4 linked regions of the Drosophila melanogaster genome follow. The protein of the gene in region 1 interacts with the protein of each later gene in a pairwise test. Each region holds a gene or a part of one and is shown in the gene's direction. Other genes may lie near its edges. The genes, in order: unc-13, Syb, Acam and CG15198.

Region 1 (4,608 bases):
GTTGACATCAACTCCTATGAAAAACGTCTCTCATTTGCCTTGGAGTATAAAGAGAAGCCTATCGAGTTCTGGTTTGATGTTTTATGGACTGATGAAATTGGGTTTCAGTTTCAGAGATCCTTTAGCAAGAAATTTATGCATTTCCCAAAAAAACTAAAGGTTGAATGCCGTCCAGCTAATCAATCGATTTGGTGGTGGCACGGTGATGTTCTGGGGCTGTTTAAGCTACTTTGGATTTGGAGACATGGTACCGATAGAGGGTACAATAAATCAAACAGGATACCTCCATATCTTAAATGAGCACGCATTCACCTCAGGAAATAGACTGTTCTCCACGAAAAAAAAACGCAAAAAACAATTAAAAAAGCTGTATGTAAATAATTTTGACGCGTAAAAATTGTGTGTAAATACTTTTGACAACAGACAAGGATCAGTTCAATGCTTCTATTTTTAAACCCTAAACAGTTATTTTTTCCACTTCTTCTTTCGTTGGGTAAAAAGCTGTTTTGGCTGCCTAACAATTTTTTAACGAAAATGTATTGACGAATTTAAGGAATTTTAAAGTATATACAGCTTTAAGGGTTTTACGAAAAGTGGTATTGTCTGTCAAGCACTTAAACATAAATAAATGCATACTAGGATTGAGCAGACAGACAAAAAAAAAAACAAAATTTTCATATTAACAAATTCGCCAAAAACATAATTTTTCTCCTGAATATAATTTTTTTAAGTATTGGTTGTTTTTTTCGTTGCCTTTCCTTTACTAGTATTTTTATTTCTTTGCTTCGCCAGTACGCTTATCGTCCACCCTGACCTATTGCTAATTGATAACCACCATATATTTTATAAACACAAATCTAACAAATTTAGGATTTTGTAACGGTATAAATAAGACACCGCCGTTTTATCTTAGAAATTTCATATCTGTTTCAATGAATGGCAACATTAACTCAAAACTTTTAAACAATTCATGTAACGACCGCAAATTGATGCTCGATAAATAACGGAAACAGTTCCTCGCATTTCTTGAGCAATGGGCATGTCACAGTCAAAACTTTCGACTAAAGCTTTCAAAATTGTTCTTAAATATTTAATGTTTGTCATTTCCTTTTTAAGGGAATTCCATTGGACTTGATCTTGAGACAATTCTGACATAACGCAATGTATTGCCCCTGAAAATTATTCAAAATTGATTAGGGAGTACGACTAAAGCTTTTAATTTGAATGGTCTTAATTTGACATATTTCGAGGCAACTCTTAACAAAATCGTTCGATGTAATTATTCTGAAAACCTGTTAACCGTTTACGAATTGTAAACGGTTAATAAATGGTCTTAGATGTGACATTATAAAAAAAGGAGTAAGTTCAGTTTATTACAAAAACTTTAAGAGCGTTTGACAGAGAATGGTTAAGGCATGCGCAATAGATAGAAAAATATTCTCTTACATTTTTCCCGTCTTACCCACACTTGACTTTTTTCTGTATACATAAGCTTTTCAATGGTGTACTAAAAACTAAAGTTCTAAGTGTGTAACTGTCATCCGCGCAAAGCTTACTTGCTGGTAGCTTCATGAAAACGGAGCTAGGCGCAACAAAGAATTTACTAAATTGTACTGTGAATTTCAACGTTTTTTTAATTCTTAGCAGAGCACAAATAATTGTTCGTAGTGGTTTCAAACCGTTTACATTAAGAAAGCCAGATAAAAAAGCTTAGGCCTTTTAGTTAAAAATTGCATATACATAATTTTGTGCACAGAAAGACTATAAAACAGTTTTGTTTTTATAAAAAAGAAAAAAAGCTGGAATCGCTCTTAAGCCCAGATACCAAATAATTAATAAACGCATCCATTTTAGGATCCCCTTTACAGTACATACAAGCATAATTGAAAAACCTACCAATATTAAACCACATTTGGTACTAGTTAATTAATTGCACAAGTTTTTTAGTTGAAGTAAATTTCAAACAGACACATGTGTATTTTGTTACAACTAATATAGGTCATATTTAAAAAGCATTTTTATTTACTTTGAGTGTGCTTAGAAGTGAAATTAAGACCGGGTTTTATCTAAATACGTTTTGAAATACACATACATACATAGTACAAGAACCTAATTTTAATAGTTATGTGTATTTTTTTTGTCGTCAACCACTTAACGCTGTTTAGGTACATATGTATATAACAATTCAGTATTACAGACGAAATTGGCTTTTGAAATAAACGTATGTATTCCACACAGAGCATTAAAACACATTTTAAAAACAAAATTATTTAGGTAAAAACAAAACTAATCCATCGAATAAAACCCTAATTAACGGTATGATGAACACATCTCAGCTGCAAGTGACCGGGGATACGGAAAAAAAAAGTCAGTTGCTTAAAAAGGAACTCAAAATAAACACCCAGGAAAAGCTTATCTTTGCAGAAAATGCCCTCAAAAGCCAGATTAAAATAAAGGAGCAGTTACGACTTCAGCAACAATCAACGATTTATGCGTCGTCACTATTGAGCTCTTCTGCTGCCGGATCAGTAAGAGCTCCGCTCTTAAGCCAGGGGCACCTTAATTCTATCCAACACAACATGGATTTTGACCTTGCCAAAGCACAAATACCGGAAATGCAACCACCGATGAGTAAGTCGCCCAATGGATTGGATTTCTCTTACTTAAGTTATCCAAGCATAAATACTAATGAAAGTATGATATCGATTAAAAGTGAACAACAGTTGTGTCAGAGCTACAATTCGGAGCAACACTCTGACTACATTATCTCCGATTATATGGATAAAATTGCAACAAGGATCAGTTTACTCGAGACAGAGCTGAAGTTTGCTTGGCGTGCATTGGATTTGCTTTCTACGGAGTACGGAAAGATTTGGATTCGTTTGGAAAAGCTTGAAAACATATCAATAGAACAACAGTCTGTCGTTGGCAACCTTGTGGATCTTATCGGCGCATCAAAAAAAGAACTTCAAAAAGTGGATATCGAAAGAATGAAAGTACCCTTATATCAAGATGAAGATCAATTGCTACCGTTGGAAATGGAAGACACATTAGATATAGATATCCAATCATCTAATCGTGACTTTGATAAGAATCTTACTTTTGAAAATCATGAAAAAACTTTTGTAACAAAACATACGCAAGCTACTAAATCGGAAGACCTTATGAATTCCGCTTACGCAATAGATTCCCATCCAAATTTTGAAAACATTGATTTCAATGGCAAAAACTTAGACATTGGGATAATAAAATTTGGTTTTGAAAAAGGCTACGAGCCAAAACAAAAAGGTAATCAATCGGATTTTGAAGCATACAAGGAATCAAGAACTAAACTTTACTCAGATTCTGACCTTATGTTATATGAGAGGCAGCAGTTTCTAGCAAATAGCGCGCGTGCCGAATTAATGAAAGAATTTTTAAATGGACGTCGAGTTTTAAATGAGATTTCGGCATCCTCGGGTGCATTGTCAAAAAGTTCTGAGAAGGATAAAAATCTTGTAAAGCCTAGAGAACCACTGTTAAGTGAGATAGATGATACATACGTGAGACGGTCAACCTGTGAACTTGTCAGCCCTAGTAGTAATAATTTTTTTCAAATAGCAGCCTCTAAAACAGGCGAGGGTGGAAATCAGGTTTTACCCATTGAAGACACTGGAGGAACAGAAAGTCCAGCTAATATTAATGAAGTAGACGAATCTTTTTATAAAAATCTAAACGAGGCTTATCGAGACAATGAATTGAGCTCTGAGATATTTAAGGTTGATGCATTGCTACATCAGTCTGAGGCCACACATGACCACATCTCATTTATCCGAAACCAGTCAACTTCTTCCCCAGTTTTAAATAATCAGAGGGTGAATGCTATTACAGGTACACAACCTTTACAGACTGCAAAGGCGTGTCTCGTAACAGAGCCAAACCAACATTTGAACAAAGAACCAAGAAAGCACAGAAAAAAAAAACATCATACAAACGAAATGGATATGATTAATAAACTAAAGTGTATCCTTGCACAAGCACAATCAACAGAGATTATTAAGAGAGACATTGAAGAATTGGGTTCGAAACTTTCAGATGCATGTGTAAAACAAACTGAAACGGAAAATAAATCAGACAACCATATTAGTACCAGTTATTTAAAAGATGATATACGAAAAATGTTAAACAACGTAATACAGACTTTATTGGGGGAAATAAATAAAATTAAAGGGTTACAATCATTGAGTGCAACGCAATTGAGTCAGTTACAAAATGCCGTATGGTCGGAAGAAAGGTTTTTTCAAAAAATTAGTCTGGTCGATAAAAAGTTGACTTTGCTGTTACTTAATCCGTTAACTGTTACTGAAGAACTGCAAAGGCTTTGCATTTCAAACACAAATGAAAAGTTTGTTCTGGTAATAAAAAAGTTAAAAAAAAATATTGACACTCTAAAAAAATTAGTTGGCAGCTCATTGGATGACTTTAAAATAGATAATTCACACGCAAATATGACCACATTTCACAGCCTTAATCCATCCCATAATTCTAATGATAGCAGTTTTAGTGCACATTTATTAAGAAATAACTCCAATCTGGATGAACAGTTGAAAATTCTTGAAACTCAAGAGA
Region 2 (5,521 bases), on another chromosome or scaffold:
AGAAACCGGTGTCCCTCGATATCACCAGTTGCTCCTCTTCGCTGGGCAAGGGCTTGCCCTGCAGTGAGTACACCACATGCGGATTGTACAGGCTAAATACGACGGGGTAGTAGACCTAAGCGTTGAAAATAGATGTTAATGTATTAGTAATTTAAATAATAGCAGATATATTTACCTTCTTTCCAGGCGCTGCATTCCAGCGACAACGCTCCAGGAACTTGGTCGTGAACATAATGTCCACGTCGCACATGAAGAGCAGCACGTCCTCCTCAGCGGGTTGAATGTGCTCCGCTCCCAGTCTTAAAGCTTTGGCTATAAGCAAAATGGCTATTATTAACTACCAATATTATTTGTAATGCATTATAAACTTGCATATGTATTATGAACGAAACAAATGTAATATTAATAAACGAAACCCGTGCTTACCCCTACTGAAAGTCTCATTGAGTGCCAAAAACTGAGTCCTTTGGGATCGTCCAGCCAGGCTCCTAGCTTGCTCCAATCCACTGGTTCCAAAGTACACCACAATAAGCTCCAGGCGACGATCCTCTAGCTTGGCGAACATCTGCAGGAAGCCGCGAAAGCTGTGCAGACGTCCAGCCAGCGGTAGTATCACGTGGATTATGGGCGGACTATGACTTGGAGGGGCACCACTATTATCCACACTGGAAGATAGCTCCGATAGCTGCACCGTTTGCAGAGGAGCAAATGGTCGCATGACCAGGGCTCTCCGCACTGGACTCGCCTGGTGCTTGACACTCTGGAAGTACAGCTCGTACTGGGTGCCTGTGGTGGGTTCGTTGCGGTATATGCCCTCGATAAAGTCATCCAGGGTGTATTTGATCACATCCGAGGCGTAAGCCGCTGCAGAACCAGCTCCCTTGGCTCGTATTCTCGCTGAGTGATTCCTGTTCAGGCTCTCCAGCGCCTTGTTTACCGCCTCGATGAGGTCACGTCGTCGATAACCGATGGGCTTCTCCACCACGCGCTTTCCCAGGCCCAAGTCGATGGGATATACTCGCGTGAAGGTGAAGTGATTGTAGGGTATCAGCTCGTACTCGTTGTTCAGCGGCAGTCCATGCAGAATTTCTGCGGCGCCCACCTGCTTGCGAATATAGCTGCTGCAGTCGTAATGGTGACCCAGTGGTGCAGTTGGTGGCCCCGCGGTGGTTTCTTGCAATTGAAGACTGCCATTTGATGGCTTGGCAGTGCTGCGATTATTCTGTAGAAAGAGGATTTGAGTGCGGAGAGCCAGGACTTCCTGTTTCAGCCGCTCAATTTCCGCCTCTCGTTCGCTTAAGGTGTAACTGAATCCGCTGGATTCACTCGGATTATTGGCTTGAGTTTCCCTCGTCGTCAGTTCATCGAATCCGCACTTTGTGAGCACCACAATGGAGGCGCCGGTCAACAAGGCGAAGAGCAGCAAAAGCCGCAGCAGCAACTTGGTCACCAGGGAGTTATGCATTTTCCATAGTTTCTTACAAAATTTTCAACCTATTGAAAATAATAAAATAATTAGTTATCTAAGTGCAATAGTAAAATGCAAACACACATTTGAGACTGTAAAAAAAACTAGTAACGAATTATCACAAATTTTATACATTGCTGTGGAATTCTACATTTTTATTACATATTATACATGTACATGGCTCGGTAGAACAGTTTATTGGTTTTTGTCTCTGCTATTTAGGCAACAGTGCGTTATTAATAATTTTCGCTGATCTTTTGTAAAAGTATTAAAGATAAATCAGTTAAGAGCAAACAAAAATTTCATTTTGGCTTGCGGCACTGGTAATTTAAGTAATAAAATAAGATACAATAATATAAGACATTGATTTGAAATCAAACATCATCTGCAAGGAACTAAAGAAAAATGGAATGCAAGTGCTTGTTAACAATAATTTGTGCGCCGATACACATACTAAATATACCAATTCATGTTTTTTATAAGCTAGATAAGTATTATCTTTTTATATTTGCAAGGGGTTTTCAGGAAACATCGATAGTATCGATAAGGTATCGGGCTTGGTTCCAGCTCTAATAGTTCAACGGTCACACTGATCACAAGCTGATATTTCTATAAAAAAAAATAGTGCTATTTAAAAAGCAGCCGCAGTTTTCCGTGGAAAACCCGAAATACACAGCAGTATTCTACAGGCACATTGTCAAGGTGAGTGCTCGGGGGTGGTGGGTGGTTGGGGGTGGCGTTCCACCCATGTAAACAGCGTTTGTTGGCAGTGCGGCATGCAACAAGTTCTTTTTTCGAGCAAAGGTGATGGCATTCCTATAAATCGAGTGATTCATAGGCCGAATAGATAAGGCGTGTGCTGCGTTTTGTTTTCTTTTCTTTTCGGCCCTGTAATCTAAACAATTTCGGGTGTGTGTGTGTGATGGAACATGCATTCTCCCCATTTAAAGAACCAGACATCCAATAAAGGCCTTTCTCTGCTTCGCTTTCTTTCCGCAGCAAATTCACAATGGAGAACAACGAAGCCCCCTCCCCCTCGGGATCCAACAACAACGAGTAAGTGGTGGAAATCCATCGAATCAACAGGCTCAGCGCACAAAAGCAAGGAAAATCCCATACAGTGACGTCACCTGAGTCATATGGGCCACAGCGAACCGGAAGTAAAGTCTTCGGACTTCACTTTCGGACATTGGAATACCGTAAACGTCATGCTGCTGCCCAAGCGGTAGCTTCAGTTGTAGTTTGAAATCAATTAGGGTCATTAAAAGCATTCAGTTAAGTTGAGATATTGTAAAGTCAGTTGCTATCTTAGATGGAATATTAATGTGAAATGGCAAATTAACTCGAATAACAAAAAAGTATTAATTATATTCGATTCTAAATTGTAAAACATTTGCAAGTAGCTTATAATCAGAAACAGAATTTGCTTATTAATCACTTTATCGCAAATGGTAACTGAACATACTTAAGTATGTTTCATTTAACATCTATGAAAAACAAATGAATATTACTCATTTTATATTTTTTTTTGTCAATGGAATTTCAACAGCACTTGAGATTGTGAAGTTTTATTAGTCTATCCGAATTTAAGAAGAAAGAAAGTATTTATAGGACACAAGTCCCATTATTAAAACGTGAAAGGTGAATTGGCATAGATAACGATGGCATGATATACCAAGACTCGTGCTTTTGTGCGTTGCAGCTTGATGATCCATCTGCTGCTCTTAATAAGTGTAAGCAACCCCCACAAACACACATAATATTGTACAGTTTTCCCATACTTCCGCCACCGCCGAACGCGAATGACAACTACAATCAATTCGGTGACCATCAAATCAGGAACAACAATGCAGCCCAGAAGAAGCTGCAGCAGACCCAAGCCAAGGTGGACGAGGTGGTCGGGATTATGCGTGTGAACGTGGAGAAGGTCCTGGAGCGGGACCAGAAGCTATCGGAACTGGGCGAGCGTGCGGATCAGCTGGAGCAGGGAGCATCCCAGTTCGAGCAGCAGGCCGGCAAGCTGAAGCGCAAGCAATGGTGGGCCAACATGAAGATGATGATCATTCTGGGCGTGATAGCCGTTGTGCTGCTCATCATCGTTCTGGGTAAGCTAACCGATTTTATACCGCTTCGGCTTTTTGCCTCTTGCTGGTGCTTCTTTCTGGTTGCGGTTTTTCTCGATCAGGCTAAAGATCAGTAGTGTAGCTAGGTGGCTGGTTTGGTTTGGTATTGTTATATCTATAACGCAAGTCGACGCCCTGCAAACGCCCTAATCTTGCTCAACCTGTGGTTTCGGTCCTAACAACTTGTCCATGTGGCTTGCAGCTAACTAATCCAATAACAGATACTCCTACTCGTACTGATGACAACCCCTTGTGAATTTCTGTTTACTTGCAGTGTCGCTTTTCAATTGATACAATTAAACACACACTCACAGAAAAACAAAAGCAAAGCCAACAAAAATCATGTAATTCCGTTTCCCAATCAGCAAAGTTAAGGTTCAGATTAATCGTTTAACACGTTTGTGTACGTGTACTGGCTCCTACTATATACTCCTTAAATTGTTTATTATATTTTATAAAAGTCTTAAGCTAAGCAACTCTAAAGCTCTAAAGGTAATTGTTGTTCTTGTGCCTGTCCTAAGTGTTAATTATCGTTATATTTGTTTAGTCTGTAGTGTGCGAAGATTAGAACCTCCATGTCATACGTGTGTAGACTATAAAGTTCATACATATGTATATAGCTTCAGCAAAGCTATTAAGAAGTTAAAAATGGTTATATCTACAGTGCAATGTTGGGGCTAGGGCTCTGTTCTATGGAGAAATTTCATTTTAAAAAGTCATTTCGATTTTATTCAAATTAAACTCGCGTAAAAAGTATTAAATAAGAATGACAATACGAAATCCGTGCTGACATCGAAAGGTATGTAAGATAGTAAGCGGGAAGATAAAATCTGACTTTAAAAGTTGTTAATTAATAAATAACTGAAGAAATCTTTCGTCAACAAAACGCTCAGTACAATGTGCTGGGTGGTTAGAACTTTTACTTAAAAAGACCGCGATTTCATTTAAATGCGAGATAGGATATGAAATCCTTTTCATATCTCGTTGAATTGATATAAACATAGCTCTAATATCTGCGTATTTCCCTTTTTAGTGTCCGTTTGGCCGTCTAGTAGTGACAGCGGCAGTGGTGGAGGAAACAAGGCCATCACCCAAGCACCGCCGCACTAAAGGCCTCCTAGGGAGTGAGGTAAACACATGGATACGAAATGGAAAAGGACCAAACAAACACAACTGGGACGGAAACCTTTCTGGTCTTTTCGCGCAATGAGAGAAGGGGAGATGAAGAAAATCAAAAGGATAACTTACTAAAATTGCGTCTAGCATATATTTAACCAGAATGTAATTATTAAATCTTAATGTTAAACTTAACATTTTTACGTGTCGTAGCCGAGACCAGAGGTCCCATTAATGTGTATTGCATTATATACAATTATATATACGTGTATATCATCCAATTGAAAATACATCATGCCACCTACACTTTAACCGGACCCATCAAGTCCACCGAAGTTTTATGGAAACGTTTCGCGGACAGAGCCATTTATTTACATTCAGCGTTTTTGCTTAAGATGCGCGTGCCATGGAAACAGTTATCGATTTTCCGGCAAACCGAATCGAAACAAGACGACAGCAGTCGCGGGCACCCAGACAAACTTGCCCCATCGACATCGAGGCACTGACCAATTGCCGCAGGAACTGAATCGTCTCGCATAAACATTCTGTCCCAGCTGTTCCGATAGTCCACGCATGCGTTCCACTCATTCGATGTTCTTCCGATAGAACAGGTACACGAATATATCATGAATGTCCGCGCGCCATCCCATCAATTCTATAAACGAGGCTGTCGTCCACACATAGCCCATATATAGGGCAAAAAAGTTGAGGTAGTACAGCTGGCCGATCAGTATGTAGTCCCCGGTCGACTCCTGGCGGTAGAAGTTCGGCTTTCGCATGGAAGCGCCAAAGACTATGACAAACTGTGGGCAAA
Region 3 (3,667 bases), on another chromosome or scaffold:
CCCAAAGGTCTGTTGCCATTTCGATTGCGGCTCGGCTGTTGCTATATCGTCCTGTTTATGCCTGATTAAAGTCAAACAACAAACATATTCTGAGCTGCATTTACCAGACAATCGTATAAACATATACACATGTGGTCATCAGAATAGAATTTATTAGTTGGGAGATCTACAAATCTGCCAATTATTTTAAGCAAATTGTTTTTACTCTCCTTTAACGCAAACAACTTTTATTTATTTAGTTAGTAGCCCTAATTAATATATTACCTGCTAAGTAATACTTGGAACTATTGTTTTCCATACAAATATATAATCCCGCATCTCTGGCCCGAAAAGTCCTCTCTAATCTATGCAGAGAAATGCTTGACAGTGCCTTGTTGTGTGGCTCAACTTTGGCCCCAATCCTAAATCCTTTGTGTCCTTCGTGGCCAGGATTTGCTTCTCATTACCAAGAAGCCCCCATTGTTCGCTCCACTGGGAGGAGCACGTGTGAGAAAGGTTGATGGCCAGGGACATGGGTTTGTGCAGTTTGGTTCTCGCCTTCTCCGCTCCCAAATTATGCAAATTGCTCGAAATTTTGCATTGGATAATTTCCCTATTTGCCCGTAATGCTCAATAAAAAAAAAAAAAATACAAACACAAAAAACATTTTATGACCCAAGAGACCAACGATGGCAGCAAATGGCTGAGCAGAAAAAATACTGAACAGTTGTATAAATGCACCAACAAAAATAAAAATAATATAAAAACAGAACAAACTGCGACGCATTTAATTAAAAATGTAATTACCCATGCTTTTCAACAGCCACATTGCTCGAAGCGGTAGCCAGAGGCTATGAAAACATTATTCGGAAAATTGTTGCAAATTTAATTGTTAAATCCTGCTATATTTTACTGCGGTGTTACTGCATCACGGAGCAGTTGTAGTTTTTTCCATTTCACAAATTTATCTTACTGAAAATGAGTTTAAGAACCATGTCAGAAAAGAGCGTGGGGCAACTAACAAAAAAAAAATTTTAAAAAACTAACTAGTAATCTTTTGTTGTCAATGCCTTGAATTTTCCACAATTTCAGTCTAAATGGAAAACTGTCAATGAAAAGACAATATTTAAACACAACTATTTTCGAAAAACTAAATTTTAAAATTCATCTTTTCGGGAAATCCAAATTTTAGCCCAAGGTATACTTACAATTTGCCATGGATGACTTTGATTTCAGTAGTCCACCTCCGGAGGTACGAACAGTTCATACCCACACGCTGAATGATGAACAGCTCAAGGATTGTGAGGCGGCCTTCGCCCTCTTCGACGACGATAATGCCAAGGTCATTCCGATCAAGTTATTGAGAGATTGCCTGCGAGCCGTGGCCCACAACCCGCCGGAAAACGAGATACAGGATTATATAACCGAAATTGATACGGATGGATCCGGCGAGCTTTATCTCAGTGATTTCCTATACATCATGTCGAAACGGTACGAGAATTTGACCGTCGAAGATGAAGTTATCCTCGCTTTCAAAGTCTTCGACAAAGATGGATCTGGCTTTATACACGAGAATGAGTTCCGTCAGATAATGACTGAATATGGCGATGAAATGGAAGAGGACGAGATCGAGGAAATGATACGTGATGCCGACGCCAACACGGAACTGAAAATCGACTACGTTCGCTTTGTGACCATGATGATGGAGACGTAACACTCTCTTTGAAAAATAAAAAACATAACCGATTGTAGATCTAATCAATAAATTTCAAAAGCATGGCCAATGGAATCGAAGATCTTGAAATATCGGATACCACCAGTTTGGACTATTCTTTAAAAAAAAAAAAAAGCCAATATACAATAGATAAAATGATAACAAGAGTAGGCTTTTCTTGTTATTAAATTATAAATATGAAGTTGTGAACTAAAGTTTGTCGAAAATTTGTAGTGAGTGTTCAGTGACCCCAAAATTTTCCCACCCCCAACCCCTTCCTTTGGCCATGGATTTCGAATTCCTTACTCCGCCGCCAGAGGAACGGACCATTCGCACCCACAATCTGACCGAAGAACAGGTCAAGGATTTGGAGATTGCCTTTTCCCTGTTTGACGACCAAGACACTAAGGTTATTCCTATAACAAATCTCAGGCAACTAATGCTGTCTGTGGCCCACTATCCCAGTGATATGGAATTGCAGGAAATTCAGGCCGAGATCGATGCTGATGGATCCGGTGAGTTATATCTCAGCGATTTCCTTCACATCATGTCTCAGAGGTACGCAAACATGTCTACCGAGGATGAAATTATAGCTGCATTCAGAGTCTTTGACAAAGAAGGAACCGGCTTAATATCTGAATCGGAATTTCGTCACATAATGCAGAACATGGGGGAGCAATTGACGGATGATGAGGTGGAGGAGATCATCCGTGATGCAAATTCTGATTTGGAAGGCAATATAGACTATGTGCGATTTGTCAGAATGATGTCCACTACATAAGGAAAAAGCAGGCTTTAGGGGTTGGGAACCCGACCTGTCAGTATCAGTATCATCAAAACAGTTTCGGCTCATTCCCTTTCGTAAATTCCAACAGTCTATAGCTCTGCAAGCATTTAAAAATATCTCGATAAATACCGAAAATCTTTGAAAATTTATCAAGATGTCCGAACTAACGGAGGAGCAGATTGCCGAGTTCAAGGATGCCTTTGTCCAGTTCGACAAGGAGGGAACCGGCAAGATCGCCACCCGTGAGCTGGGCACATTGATGCGCACCTTGGGCCAGAATCCAACGGAGGCCGAGTTGCAAGATTTGATAGCTGAGGCCGAGAACAACAACAATGGCCAACTGAACTTCACTGAGTTCTGCGGTATAATGGCCAAGCAAATGCGGGAAACTGACACTGAGGAGGAAATGCGTGAGGCATTCAAGATTTTTGATCGTGATGGCGATGGCTTTATATCACCAGCTGAGCTTCGCTTTGTGATGATCAATCTGGGCGAAAAGGTCACCGACGAGGAGATCGATGAGATGATTCGCGAGGCTGATTTTGATGGGGATGGCATGATCAACTACGAGGAATTCGTATGGATGATAAGCCAGAAGTAGTACAGCTACTTTAAATGAAATAAAAATATTTGGGGTCACTGCATAAAAAAAATCGTGTATTTCTCTTCAAAAAATACAATTTACACTTCTCTGCGGTCTAACTATTTTCGAACACTTTTTAATACGCCCCCAATTATTTCAATTATATTTTTGCGGTGTGCTAGTTTTTCCTTTGCCTAATTCGGAGACCGAGAATTTTTCAAGCATGTCCTGCTCTTAAAAATGTTTGATGAAGGCACCCCATTTCGGTAATTGTGGTTGGTTTAAGGAATTTTCGCCTCGCCTTCTTCAGGTGAAAACTTTCAGCATGAAACACTCGACGTGGTTTTAGTCCGCCTTTTCGTTTCCCTGGCAAGTGGTTTTTGCTTCCACATGCGGCACCTTTGTGGCCAGACGAACAATTTTCCTGTTGCTTAAATTCAATTTGCTTATGCATTAAAATTAAATTTTACTGTGGCCTCAGCGGGCCCGGCTCGTACTCCTTGCTGGAAGCAACCTCTTGGGGTCTTTGGGGCTTGTGTCTGACTTTATAAATATTTCGTGTGTGTTGTGTACGCGCATGTATGAATTTTCAATTTTTTGAACA
Region 4 (2,799 bases), on another chromosome or scaffold:
AAACTGACAAATGTACTTTAATCATATCACATATCTAAGTTTCGGGTTTCCCTCTTTCCTTACAAGAAATTATCTAGCTCAAAACTAGAAGCTTAGGAAAATGCATGAAATGCCCAAGTGGATGCAGTTGCTCCTCTTACAAAAGCTGCCTTACCATTCTGTGTGGTGCTGCCTTGGAAGAGGTTCCGCAGATACGTGATCAGCCGCCGGTGGAGCGGTCGATGCCGATGGCGCGATGATTTCCTATGCGAGGAGGAGGACTCCTGACCGCCACCGCCCTGCTCCACATCTTCCACGTCCAGGGTGGAGACAATCGCTGCCCCCGAGCCCGCTGCACCCGAACCCGGACCACTGGCCACCAGCTCCTTGCCGCACTGACTGGCGTCCACAATAATCTCGATGCTGCGTTGCGTGCTGGACTTTTTAATGCCCAATGCCGCCGTGGAGCAACTGCTGCCGGAGGGACCACCACCGCCACCGCCGGAGTTAATGGTGCTGATGAGGGCATCTGTGACACTGGATCCGGTGCCAGCGATGCTGCTCACCGTCTGGTGATGCATCTGCTGCTGCTGCTGGTGCTGCTGGACCGCTCGACCTGTGAGCAGGTGATGCTGGGCGCTCGAGGGCAGCTCGTTGACGGTGCCATTGCTGTGGCTTCCACGATAGATGAGCTCCGTTTCGTTGCTCACCTGGCGCAGGGCATGCAGTCCGGTGTGCGATGCACTGCTTGACATTCCGGCGGAGGATCCACCACCTGCGCCGCCGCCTCCAGCTCCTCCTCCTCCTCCGCCGCCGCCGCTGCCGGAACCACCATTTAGACCCGTGTAGTAGGCGCTATTCGGTCGCTGGCTGTGCTGCACCTGTGGCCCGGCCATAATGTTTCTCTCAGTGTATGTTATGTACTGCTGGAGCGGCTAGAGTTCCACCTCCTTCTGCTGCTCCTGTTCCTGCTCCCGATCCTCTCTAGCGGCTGGCTTTAATTGTCGCTGGCTGGTTTTAGTGGTTTTAGTAGCATATTGGACAGTTACATGGTTACGGCGGTCACTTTGTTAGGCAGATTGGGGTTAAGCGGTGCCGCATCTGCGAGAAGCGAGTAAAATCGAGCAGAATATATATGTTAGTTCCGATACTAAGGCATTTAGGTCTCTAAACCGATCAATTTCTTTAATTTAATTTCATTTGGGAATTAATTAGTTTCCCAAAAACAGTACAAACAAACTGTACCAAATGCTTTCGAAGCTGGGTACTTTATCGTGTTCCCATATTATTTTCTAATTATCTTAATTTGATCGGAATAGAGTAAATAACAAAGAAAACTATTTCCAGGAATTTCCATTTATTCCATTTGCCAGCAGCGTTGCATTGTTAGTATGCGTGCATGCGTATGTGTGTGCGTGTGTGTGCGTATGTGAATTATAAAGCTGTTGTAAGCGCACTTGTTAGCCCATTTTAATCCTATTTACTAAATGATACACTAAACTAGACAATTGCCTTCTCAGTAAATTGCGGCTAACTAAGTTGCCAATGCACATCGATTGAGATGCTAACGCACATTGTAACCTATTAAATTTATGCAAAATATTACAACTAAATTAAACATTTGTTATCCCAAGTAAGTAGGCCTCGCAATGAAACTCGCATAGATAAAACCATCCGTGTGGTTGACTTTTGTTCAGTATTGGGGCAAACCTTACACCGAACAGTTCGGAAAACTAGCCAAAAAAAAAAAAATTCAAAATTTTTCCGTGTGAATAACTCCGTGTTTTTCCACATTTTCTACCTTTGCCGTTTAAACGTTGCTGCGCTCACCATCACCATGAAAACCCTCGAGTCCGACGACAAACCCTTCAATCCCTTCTACATTGGCCCACATCCCAGCAAGGCGTGTGCCATTCCCGAGATTCCCGGCCAGCAATGCTCACCCAACTGTCAGCCAACTACTACGACCACCAATGGTTCTCCAACGGATGCAACGGATCCCAACAGTTTGCCCAGCGGAGCTGCGGGCGGCATGGTAATCGTGGCCAACATATATAGCACCGTCGAGGTCCTGGCCGCCGCCGCTCGTATGGGCGGAGCAGCGGGCACTGGAGGGGATCAGGGTGCGTCGTCTTCCAACAACACCACATGCAAGCCGTATCCCTGCATGGAGGGCGCTCGCATCGATGGTCCTGGCTGTGGTTAGAACCAGAGGAAGTTCACATTGGATCAGAAAGCTTTATCTACCAACTGGCTATTTGAATAGGCTAACTCGCAACACCAAGCTAGCCCCAAATACAAAAATAAAAGGCCCAGAAAAATAATCCATTCGTATTTTTTCTATAGTCTGTCGAAAAATGATCAGTCTTTTTCCTACAGCAATGTAAATAGTTGTCCAAATATGGAATGCCATACCTCGTTGAACTCGTCATAAAATTGTCTTTCGAATGGCATTCACAGTTAAAAATGTAATTTTTTTTCAATTTTTCGCAAAAAATGATGATGTTACCCCTTATAAAAAATCTGAAAATTTGAAAAAAATCAATTTTTTCAAATTAACAAAACGGTTACAGAAATCGTTTATTTGGATCATTAGCTGTATAAAACAGTAATTTTTTTGAATAAGTGACCATTTTTGGCCAAGTTATAGCAAACTGAATTCTTCGAAAAAATCATCATTTTGCCAAAATGAAACACCAATTTTTCAACAAAATATAATCATTATTTTGTTCATAGCAATAAAGTTATTTATCCAAACATGGAATGCCATACCTCGTTGAACTCGTCATAAAATTGTCTTTCGAATGGCATTCACAGTTA

Evidence for each region.
Region 2: the proteins of unc-13 (region 1) and Syb interact in a two-hybrid assay, tested with the Drosophila melanogaster proteins (one large-scale study listed by BioGRID).
Region 3: the proteins of unc-13 (region 1) and Acam interact in a two-hybrid assay, tested with the Drosophila melanogaster proteins (one large-scale study listed by BioGRID).
Region 4: the proteins of unc-13 (region 1) and CG15198 interact in a two-hybrid assay, tested with the Drosophila melanogaster proteins (one large-scale study listed by BioGRID).

Annotation. Positions count from the first base shown.
Region 1 is NC_004353.4:890,507-895,114, reverse strand, and holds the start of unc-13 (unc-13), read left to right. Parts: upstream 1-1,549; 5' UTR 1,550-1,610; intron 1,611-2,165; 5' UTR 2,166-2,221; intron 2,222-2,274; 5' UTR 2,275-2,318; coding exon 2,319-4,608.
Region 2 is NT_033778.4:10,248,931-10,254,451, reverse strand, and holds Syb (synaptobrevin), read left to right. Parts: upstream 1-2,034; 5' UTR 2,035-2,170; intron 2,171-2,279; exon of another isoform or gene 2,280-2,377; intron 2,378-2,467; 5' UTR 2,468-2,477; coding exon 2,478-2,524; intron 2,525-3,238; coding exon 3,239-3,573; intron 3,574-3,865; coding exon of another isoform or gene 3,866-3,882; exon of another isoform or gene 3,883-4,083; intron 4,084-4,624; coding exon 4,625-4,701; 3' UTR 4,702-5,017; downstream 5,018-5,521. Other genes in the region: Csgalnact (chondroitin sulfate N-acetylgalactosaminyltransferase), read right to left, coding at 1-115, 176-312, 427-1,465; CG12914 (uncharacterized protein), read right to left, coding at 5,292-5,510. UniProt on the Drosophila melanogaster protein: Involved in the targeting and/or fusion of transport vesicles to their target membrane.
Region 3 is NT_033777.3:25,810,010-25,813,676, forward strand, and holds Acam (androcam), read left to right. Parts: upstream 1-1,901; 5' UTR 1,902-1,979; coding exon of another isoform or gene 1,980-2,474; 5' UTR 2,475-2,634; coding exon 2,635-3,081; 3' UTR 3,082-3,125; downstream 3,126-3,667. Other genes in the region: CG5024 (uncharacterized protein), read left to right, coding at 1,196-1,693; CG17770 (uncharacterized protein), read left to right, coding at 1,980-2,474. UniProt on the Drosophila melanogaster protein: May be involved in calcium-mediated signal transduction.
Region 4 is NC_004354.4:11,246,593-11,249,391, forward strand, and holds CG15198 (uncharacterized protein), read left to right. Parts: upstream 1-1,643; 5' UTR 1,644-1,816; coding exon 1,817-2,185; 3' UTR 2,186-2,293; downstream 2,294-2,799. Other genes in the region: CG44422 (uncharacterized protein), read right to left, coding at 155-875.